Arabidopsis thaliana: one gene and its partner. The protein of the gene in region 2 interacts with the protein of the main gene of each other region in a pairwise test. Each region holds a gene or a part of one and is shown on either strand. Other genes may lie near its edges.

Region 1 (5,262 bases), on a different chromosome or scaffold from region 2:
ACAATTGAAACACGGTAATATGAGAAACTGATATATATTTGATGATTTCACTGGGAAGTGAGAATTACACATCGGTCATTGAGTTACCTTGGCCTGAGATTATTTTGGCAGCATCAAGAGCAACATCCAAGACACAACAGAAGATAGCAATGAAAGTCAATATTGAGAAGAAAAGAAAAAAACTCTGACTAGATGATTGAAAGAATAGTCCTTAGAAGGTCAAATTTACCACGTCCAAAGGTTTCGTTGGAGGTTTGTCTGCGAGGATATCTAGAGGTAGTAGTGGAGTTGAGTATGCTTCCTACAAACAATAAAACCATAATACACGATTACATCACAAAACCAAATATTTAGTAAAATAACGGCCACAACAACAGAAAGTAATTCTGATTAGAAAGATTAATTGGGGAGGTTTATTGCTTCAACCAGTTCCAAGAACTAGAATGAAGGGAGCTTAAAAATGGCAAACCTGAAGAGCTGGCTTAGTGGGGATGCGGAAAGTAACGACAGCAGGAGCACCGTAGAAGACTCCTTTAACCTTGGCCTCCAATTCGATAGAATGAGACAGAATACCTCCTCTGCACAGCAAATATTAGATTAGTGACGAGAGTAAAAGCTAAAGCAGGCCAATATAAGATTTTATGATTGAGGAAGAAACTCACGCATCAAGTCTTTCCCATGATTTTGAAGTGTTTCCATTAACAACTTCAAAAGTCTTTTTATCCCAGCTATTATCTGTCAGAGTCACATCATACGCCGACCTGAGAGCAAACACCACAAATATCTGACGCTTTTAGCTGACATTCATTAAAAATCTCAAAGTCATCGTAGCCGGCAGATACAAAATTCACAAACCAAATCCAAAATTCCGATAAACAATGAGATCAGATCAAATGGCGTTTCGTTTAACTGATACGCATACGGTAGATCTAATGATAGCTCAAGCATAATCTCCTAATTCTACATTGACCAATCTCTCCATGCAATCAGAAATTAACACGGATCGGAAATGAAAATGGAGAAATCAAACGGATTCGGGAAATAACTAGATGAAGGATAGAGAACTAACGAGGATCCTTGGTTATAGATGTCGTAGGAAACGGAGACGCGTTCGGCGCCAGATTTGAGCCTGTTGAGAGTGGCTTTCTTGTGAACCACCATGAACGGCACTTCCGAGGTCGCGAACGAAGCAGAAACAAGCATGAAAACCGCCATGGCGGAGATCAGAAGCTTAGCTACAGCGACGGCCATGGTTTGCGATCTACGACGATGTAGGTGTTTAAGCAGATGCGGAAATAGATCTACGAATGTTTTCTTCAGCTCAAGAAACCTCCGACGACGATATTAATCACCACCACCACCACCCATTAACAAAAAAAGTCAATGATGGGCCCAATTGTTTTTCACCTGATAATGGGCCTACTTATAAAAGCCCATTCTAATAATAAAGTGTATTAATATACCGTCCAAATTAAAGAAGGGAAGTGTGTTTGCACTTGCAGTAGAACAATGAAGATAACACAGCCTGTCTCCTGCCACAATCTAACATGTTTCTTTTCCCACACCACATTTCGATTGGATCCAAATATTCTCTAATACTTTTATAATCATAGATGACTTTGTCTATTAATTATCTCGTCTAATTATAAAGTCTACTTAAGATGTAATAGCCAACGATTCATATCATTCAAAAGACATATTGACTCGAATCAATGGAGGTTTTGTTACCATAATCTCATTTTCATTTCTAACAATCTTTTGGTTGGAGTAAGAAAAGAGGGTAAAAACTGATAAAGTTGATTTGATTCAATTAATCAAGGTGGCGGGAAAGTTAAGGAAAGAAGTCAACGAGGAAGGAAGTACTAAAACTAAAACAGGAGAGCCAATAAAAAGTAGGCAAGTGGGTGGGGACATAGAATAAGAATTCACAGCTACCCGTAAGAAACATAATTAAAACTTGGATTAAACCGAAAGGCATGTGATTTTCCTTTGTTGGTTAACTAAATCACGTATATCTATCGTTGAATATAAGAGCATGTGGAGGGATTTGCATCGAACTCTGAAACCTGAGTAAATCTTCTCTTCCCATCATCACATGCTTACTTATCTCTTCTGGTTAGCTCTCTGAGATTCTCTCTTCCAGATTGTTCTTTTTATATTTTACTTAGAGCTTCAAAATTAATCCGGATCTATCTGCTTCAGGTTGTTCCAAAACATCCTTATTTTGACATATATATATGTCAATGTTGTGTAGGATGATTTTGTGAGCAAAAGATCATAGCAGAGAGAGAGAGAGAGAGAAAGAGAGCATGGGGTGTGCTCAATCTACTATTGCTGTTGTGGGAAGGAAGAACAAGAAGAGGATCATTCAAGAATCTGTAGTGTTTGTTCTACAGTTCCGTGTTCCTGTTCAGTCTGATCTTCAGCGCCAACTCAAAGGTGTTTCTCCCAAGACAACCATCAATCGGTTGACATGTTTAAGAAATCAGATTGAGTTGGTAGCTGAGGACACAGGTATAGAGAAATTAGACCAACTTCTTCCTCTTTTCTTGCGTGTCAAGACATAAGGTTCCATCTTTTCTACTGCAGGGGGTTCAGCCATCTCTGAGTTGCGTACAGCTTTGGAGGAGTACTTGTCACTTCTATCCGGTCTTATCAAGAAAAGTTCGTGTTTGCAAGTTTTGATTAACTTAAACAGTTTAGTATATTCAAATGGTGATATTAGAATATTTAACTCTACAGGTAAAGATGGAATGGAGGGCTGCGTAGAGCTCAAATGGAGGACCCTTGGCGATGGTCGACGAGTAAGTTCGGTTTTTGCTTAAATTAAGCTGATCCTAAGGATATTCATTTTGTTTGTTCTAGTATCATTAAAATCTTAACAATGTGAAGGGTGTATACAGGCAGAGATATGTTGCACAAACCTTTGGATGGAGATGTTGATAGTGATCCACATGATGGCTGCTTTGGCATTGACTGAAGCTAACTCTCTCATGATTCCAAAGGATTGCTATGCTTCTGGTTCTGGCAATGGCGTCCGTGTGGTCTCCACTGGTGTGGCCTCGTTGACTTTCACACTTTTATTTTAATTTATTGTGTTTACAAAAAACTAATTAACCTGTCACTTTCAAACAGATTGCAGGAGAGATGCGGTTGACTTGCTGCTCAAGGCATCTGGATACTTGGAGTTCTGCGTCCGAGAGATTCTGACTCAACTTCCTCATGATATAAAGTATGAAGCACAAATACATAAATTCTAGGATCACATTAATACTTACATATCTGAAAATTTGCTATATGTATGCAGGAGTAAGTTGCCAGATGATATGCAGGAAAGTGTATTACAAACTCTCTCTATACAAGCACTAGGCCAGGTTACACACATGCTTACTTTGAAACTGTGACTCCTAAACCTGAATCTTGTATATATGTTTTCAATTTGTAAGTTTGGTTGAATCTCACTGCAGGGAACTGAGATTCAACTTGGATTAGCAGTTGATAGTCAGAAAGCAACATTGTCTGTGAAGAGGAGAATTGCATGTGAGCAAGTCATCTACTTCACTCAGGTCCTCCTCATAGTTTAACAATCTTCAGCTTCTTATAACTGTGGCATGCTTTCGGGGCAATCATATGTCTTTTCTCTGTTTTAATTATTAATTTGCTATAAAATGATCTCATTATCATTTCAGGCATATCACTGCTTGTCTAGTTGTGAAGCAGTTAGCCATGGATGCGCCAAGAAACTTCTCCGGTTTATCTACTGGAAGTTTCTGGAAGCAAAGGTATTGTATGTGTATGTAAGCTATTGTTGAGAGTGATCCGATATATATTCATCTCTATTGTTCTTTCATAAAATATATCTCTCTATTATGTTCTGCTTTTTTCTTAACAGGCTGCAGCATACTACTACCATGGACTGGTAACAGACAAGGGAAGTGAGCCGGCTTGTCACTTGAGCGCTGTGTGTTGTTTCCTTGCAGCTGCAGAGATCCTAGGAGAAAGCAAAAAAGCCTGTCTTAGCTTCTGCTTAGCTCCTCCTGTCACAAGGTTTGTGTTGTTGTATGATATCCTACATGTGAATTATGAATGATTCAGAATTATTTTGTATCTATCAGGGCTCCTCCTATGTGGGGTGTTATGAAGCATTTGAGCCAGAAGATTCCAGAAGTTGCTTTTAGAAAGTCGCAGACATATGGATACTTGCTTGAAGAAGAAGAAAAGTAAGTCGTTAAGAGTGTTTTCTTTTTTTGCGTTTGTTTTAACGAATCAAACAAGATAGGTGATGATATGATAAAACCACAGGGCAATGCAGTGTTTGCCAGAGCTTCCAGACTTTCAGTTGTCATTGAGACCCGACGACTTTGAACTGCCTGAAATAGAGGATGTCTCTTCCTCATGAAACCAAACCCATTTGCTTAGAGAACATCTTGAGTTCTTGACTACTAGCTACTCATGTTGATGATGATGACCTTGATCGTTGAGAAAGAAGCACTCTCTCTACACATATTCTTTGGGTATTTTACCACTTATAATTGTAATGTAATATTTTGTATTCTTGTCAGACAAAATCTGATACTTGAGTATAGAGTAATGTAATATCTGGGTGATTACTTATCTTCCTTGATAAAGAATTTGGAAGGACTAGAAGAGAAAGAAAAAAAACAGCTGCTAATTAATAAAGGAAGCGTTTAGCTATGTTGGAGAAGAAATGTTGTTGTGTGAGGAGCTAAAAAACGGCCCGCATTTTAAATTGGAAACAGCAGGATAACCGCAACGTCACGTGAGTTAGTCACGTGTAAGTGATGATGACATGTTCGATTCCACACGTACAATAAAAGAAGTGGTTGTTGTGTGAGGCGCTTGGAAACGGCACGCAGTTTAGTAGTCTTAATTTGGAAAAAAGCGGAAAAAGCAGAATAACAATAACGTCACGTGTGGGATGATGATGAGATGTTGGATTCCGCACGTACCAACTTTGTAGAGGCGGTAAGGGATTTTGACGGCGGTAGTGCTAATGATCTCCGACACAGACATGATCGGATTTTTTAATCTCCCAATTAAGGTGACGGCGATGAATGATAAAACGCAAAAACATTCCGATTATCACTCGTAACGGTGATGATCGTTAATTCATCAAAATCTGCTGTTTTTTTTGTTCTTCCAAAAATGCATCATCCATGAAAGATAAAAGTATCATCAGAAACTTAAAATCGAAACGATCATCATCATCGTCATAAGTAATATCCAAAAAAGGTAGCAGCT
Region 2 (5,362 bases):
GGTGCACATGACTTGGTCTCATATGTAAGTTTTAAACCTATCAAGTTCCATATTTACCTGAACATAGTTGCAAGTGTTGATTGATTGAATAATATTCTAGGCTTGGGGGCTTTGGAGTAACGGGCGACCATTAGAACTCGTGGATCCAGCTATTGTAGAAAATTGCCAAAGGAATGAAGTTGTTCGATGTGTCCATATCGGTCTTTTATGTGTTCAAGAAGATCCTGCTGAGCGTCCGACGTTGTCAACCATTGTTCTGATGCTCACTAGTAACACTGTGACTTTACCCGTGCCACGGCAACCCGGTCTTTTCTTTCAGAGTAGAATTGGAAAAGACCCGCTTGATACAGATACAACGAGCAAATCTCTTCTAGGGTCTGTTGACGATGCATCCATCACAGATATACATCCTCGATGATGATGAGTTTTTCCCTTCATACCTGATTCCTGAATCTATTGGTGTTGAAAATAAGTTAAAAACTTCTTTTGTTATAGAATGTTTGTATTGTAATTGTAACCACAAGCAAGTATAAGATATATACCATTTACACGTTTCTCCATGAAGACGTAACAGTGACTTTTCCCTCCAAATTAAGCTTACACAACGATCTAGCAGGTAATTTGATTCAGCATGAAGAGAGTAAAACCAGTAATCGAGAAACGATTCTTAAAGAACTGTGAACTGTTCATAAGCATTTTACAGTGGACACTGTACAACATACAATTACAGATAAACCTGCTATGTTTCTTATGTCCGTGGACAAATAATATAAATGTCATCTGACCATTTTTCTGTTACAACTTTTAAGCTATGATGAGGAACCACATCAATTTTTACGAACTAAATGAGGAAGACTTGCTTGTATACTGATCAGACTCTGATCCTTCAGATACCAGTTTCAGTTGCCTGCTTCGTGGGAAAAATCCCGGTAGGCGAGGCACTGGTAGAGTAATTGTGTTACTAGTCAGCATTAAGATGATTGTTGATAACATTGGACGGTCTTCTGGATTTTCTTGAACACATAACAGCGCGATATGGATGCACCTAGTGACTTCATTACTCTGATAATTCCTTCCAAAAGTTGGATCCACCAGCTCTAATGGTGACTTGTTTCTCCAAAGCCTCGAAGCCTAATACAATGAACAATTAAGTACCTTGGTCATATGTTTTAAAATGTTAAATTGTTGAAAGTTGAGGACTTTATGCTCACATAAGTGACCAAGTTTCCTGCAGTACTAGTTTCATCCATCTGGTAGACGCCGCTGTTTTTCTTGCCGCTTATAATCTCAAGAACTAAGACTCCAAAGCTATAAATGTCAGATTTCATGGAGTATTGACCATGCATCGCATACTCGGGAGACATGTAAGCGCTGAAAAACATACAACACGGGTTAATATGCAATAGAAAATGGTTTAGTGTTCAGCTACTACGAGCAGAACTTACTAGGTTCCAGCAATTCTGTTCGTGTTTCCTTGAGTTTGCTCCACTCCAAAAATAGTTGCCAATCCAAAATCTGCAATTTTTGGGTTCATGTCTGCATCTAAGAGAATGTTGCTGGCTTTGAGGTCACGATGTATGATTTTGAGCCGTGAATCTTGATGAAGATATAGAATCCCTCGAGCAATTCCTCCAATGATCTTGTATCGCCGGGTCCAGTCTAGCTGACTTTGCTTTTCCGGGTCTGCACATATCGACAATCAATCAGTATAAAGCTGAAGCAGGATCCTTTGAATAAGAAAAATTATTGACAGGAACCATACCGAAAAGAAAGTAGTCAAGGCTTTTGTTGTGGACAAATTCATAGATCAGAATCTGTTCCTCTCTTTCCAAACAGAATCCAAGAAGTCTAACCAGATTCCTATGTTGAAGTTTTGTCACAAGAACAGCCTCGTTCCTGAACTCCCTTGTGCCTTGTCCTGACTTTTTCGACAGTCGCTTCACAGCTACATCAGTTCCGTTAGAAAGCTTACCCTACGTACAATGAATGAAACAAACATTGTTGGTTATTTCCATAAACCAATATGAACTTAGAAAAAATGGAAAACAGAGACCTTGTTACCTTGTAAACCGCACCGAATCCACCTTCACCAAGCTTATTACTTGTTGAAAACTTGTTAGTTGCGGCTTCAATTGTCTTAAAATCGTATACCAATGAATCTGTAGTTGAAATATCACTTTCAGCTGCAAAGAATGGGTGTATTAGTTTCGTGTTTCCCGTCTTGGCTACGGGAGTATACATGCTGATAACGAAAGGAAACAATAAAGAGGTAAAACACAAAGAAACTAACATTCAGTCTTAGTTCTTTGGTAGGATTTTCTTCTCCGGAAAAGAACAAATCCTAAAACCAGCAGTATCAAGATGGCAATAACAGTGGGAACGGTGATCGCCACAACAACTCCAGCTGAGATTCCTTTGCTATCTTCTCACAACACATAGAAAAACAATGTCATATATTTAAGTTTTTTTGTTACAATGATAGTTTTCTCAGGTGGAAGACTAACCATTGTTGGTCGGGTTGTCCTGATCACCTGCAGGTTGTGGCACAGTCACAGGAGGTTCTGGAGGAGGAGAAGCCACCGTAAGATTATCAAAAGCGTTAGAATATGTATACAAATCCCACCGCAAAAAGCAGCTTGGCCGCATAACAACACCTCCTCGCTTCTGGCTACAGCACGACTGATAGTCAATTGCGCTTTGTCGCAGACAGTTTTCACAATCACCGGAGGAAAGATCCGGCGTGCATTGCATCAATGCATATATATTCAGGAGAGGTGTCAAGACTGCTGAATCAGCTGAGTAATGGTTATCACTTGAAGAAGGTGTGCTTTTTGCTGTGGAAGCTGCAGAAATCATACGACCCATTAATCCTTCCCATATTTTCGTAAACTCTGTTAGATTTGAGTCTAGGTCTCCAGTGTTGGTGAGCCAATTTCGCGGGTTCAGATCAGCAGATCCTGAGAAAGAAGTGTTGGAGTAGCGCACATAGCAAAGCGTTGGCTCACCTGGCCATGAATACGCCTCTGTTTGGTTAGGACAATTCTTTAAAAAAAATTCAGACTCTTTCTTGATACAATCAGAACAGTCTTCTGAAGTTGATCCTGGGATGCACATCCCTATTGCGTAGACACGGTTCGGTTGTTGTCCTATGGAACCGTTGTAGTATAAGCCGTCTTGGTCCGTGACATTTGAAGGAAGAGAAGAGAGGATGAGACGGCGATTTACGTCGTAAGTACCGTTGGGTCTGAAAGTCCCCTTGTCCGTCGTGCATGTTTGTGCTGAAACTGAAGCAACACCAAAACTTATGAAGAAAAAACAGAGGACTGAAAACAAACTCCTCTGCTTCATTGTTTCTTGAAGATTAAAGCAAAAGCTAGATCTTTGTGTTTAGTGTTTGACGCATCTGTACGTTTCTTACCAGTTTAAACAAGCAAAATCGAAGCTTCTCTCCAAAATTTTCAAATATTGAATTCGTCAAATTGATGACAGTGGTCCTGAAACCTACAAATATGGTCACGAAAACGAGTGTCAAAAGTCAAAGTCAATGTCAAAAGCTAAAAGTCAATAATATTTTCTTTGTTCACATTATATAATAAGGGGGTTGTTGAATATTGATTGGAATGTTGACTCAGATAATGACATAAAGGATAAAGTATTCATAGAATCAAACCCAGTGACGCAGAGGCAGATGGAGAGGAACAAGAAAAGTATTGGGCTAAAGTGTCAGTGTCATTAATTTCACAAATAAACCGGCTTTTGTCATAGGCTGCTCAGCACATTCCCAGACTATACATATACATTTGGCAATCAAAGCATTGTAAAAGCCTAAAAGAAAAAAACAGAAGATTAGCATACCTTTTTTCGTTGTGTTCTGTTCGTCTCAATTTATAGCCTAATCAGTGTCTCTTGGGTTGAGTCATGTAAGAATGCGTACATATGAATCACGCCGAAACCAGAAGAACATGTCGTAATTGGCTGAAACAGAGTAGCAACGAACCACTAGTGTGAGTAACAACAGCAACAATTGAGTCCAAATAGAATGCAAAATATTTCATAACAAAGGGCTGATATTACAGTGTAGACATTGATAGAGTTTGTTTATAACTTCGAGCCAGTCTACAAACAGATAAAACACCTAAACATGGCTTCTGACTGTTTCAATTATCTTCAACGAGGTTCCAGATCTGTAATGGTTACATCATTGATAGTTTGGGAAGTGGGCCTGTTTGCAGACTGGCTCGACCTCCAAAGCTGGCTGTACATAATTTAATCATCAAATCATGAACACACATATTTACCAAAGCTTATAAATAAGGACACAACAGATTAGTGATAGAGGTCTATCAAATTGATGCAGTATTATCCCATGTTTGCTCTCTTACCCCAAATAAGCATCGGAGACGGATTACATTTCCCACCGGAAAACGCAGTTGGCCCGGAGCCCTTAGCTAAATCGTGATTATGCCATTAAACACATCAAAATCTAACAAAAGAGCACAAACAAATCCGATAATCAATATCATTAAACGCCATTAGAACCAGAATGCTAAACCCTAAATCCGAGCTCAGAAGAATGCGCAAAGGCTGATTCCGACGAAGAGAGTGAAGAAGAAAAGTCGGTAATAGCGTTTGGTTTCCGGTTCATATGGTATAGGTTTAGTAAATAAACCGGTTTGGGTAAATATTCGTAGAAATTCGTCTACCGGTAAAGCCAAACCGAATCCGTCTAATTTACAGAGCTTTTTTACATGCATAACAACATTTGCGTTACTACTATACATGAATTGGTATGTTTATAAAATTTTGAAGCCATTCGTATCAGAAATCTTCAATACAACAAACCAATGTTACAATGTAGAAATGATAAAGAGTTTGTATGAAAAATAACTTTGAGTGACTCACAAATCTTACATAACTATGGATCATCACATTTCATTTTCAAGTGAAATAATACCTCACATGTGGAATCTGCGTTGTTTTCAGTAACAATTCCAATTTGTCAATTGGAACAGCAACTTCAACGAGGATCTAGATTTGTAATGGTTACATCATTTTTAGTCTGAGAAGTACATCCCATTGTAAATTGGCTCGACAAAAAGCTATCACGTTCTTTGTTTTGCGGAACAAAGAATCCAGGTGGTTGAGGAACAGATAAAATGAGGGAACTGTTAGTGAGCATCATCATGATTGTTGACAAGTTGGGACGATCTTTAGGATCTTCTTGAACACATAGGAGTGCGATGTGGATGCATCTTATAACTTCTTCTGTTTGACAATTCTCTGATATGGTTAGATCCACGAGCTCTAATGGTGATCCGTTTGTCCACAACCTCCAAACCTGTACAACAATGTAATCATTAAT

What was found.
Region 1: the proteins of CRK11 (region 2) and AT5G14020 interact in a protein complementation assay, tested with the Arabidopsis thaliana proteins (one large-scale study listed by BioGRID).

What each region holds. Positions count from the first base shown.
Region 1 is NC_003076.8:4,522,867-4,528,128, reverse strand, and holds AT5G14020 (Endosomal targeting BRO1-like domain-containing protein), read left to right. Parts: upstream 1-1,961; 5' UTR 1,962-2,309; coding exon 2,310-2,514; intron 2,515-2,589; coding exon 2,590-2,664; intron 2,665-2,742; coding exon 2,743-2,804; intron 2,805-2,903; coding exon 2,904-3,054; intron 3,055-3,135; coding exon 3,136-3,232; intron 3,233-3,307; coding exon 3,308-3,374; intron 3,375-3,467; coding exon 3,468-3,566; intron 3,567-3,689; coding exon 3,690-3,782; coding exon of another isoform or gene 3,783-3,812; exon of another isoform or gene 3,813-3,892; coding exon 3,893-4,047; coding exon of another isoform or gene 4,048-4,090; exon of another isoform or gene 4,091-4,115; coding exon 4,116-4,220; intron 4,221-4,302; coding exon 4,303-4,399; 3' UTR 4,400-4,708; downstream 4,709-5,262. Other genes in the region: AT5G14030 (translocon-associated protein beta (TRAPB) family protein), read right to left, coding at 88-93, 230-301, 470-578, 663-761, 1,070-1,251.
Region 2 is NC_003075.7:12,140,363-12,145,724, forward strand, and holds CRK11 (cysteine-rich RLK (RECEPTOR-like protein kinase) 11), read right to left. Parts: upstream 3,472-5,362; 5' UTR 3,349-3,471; coding exon 2,505-3,348; intron 2,423-2,504; coding exon 2,291-2,422; intron 2,184-2,290; coding exon 2,062-2,183; intron 1,974-2,061; coding exon 1,763-1,973; intron 1,684-1,762; coding exon 1,446-1,683; intron 1,372-1,445; coding exon 1,212-1,371; coding exon of another isoform or gene 1,170-1,211; exon of another isoform or gene 1,132-1,169; coding exon 835-1,131; 3' UTR 537-834; downstream 1-536. Other genes in the region: CRK10 (cysteine-rich RLK (RECEPTOR-like protein kinase) 10), read left to right, coding at 1-24, 101-418; CRK12 (cysteine-rich RLK (RECEPTOR-like protein kinase) 12), read right to left, coding at 5,018-5,338.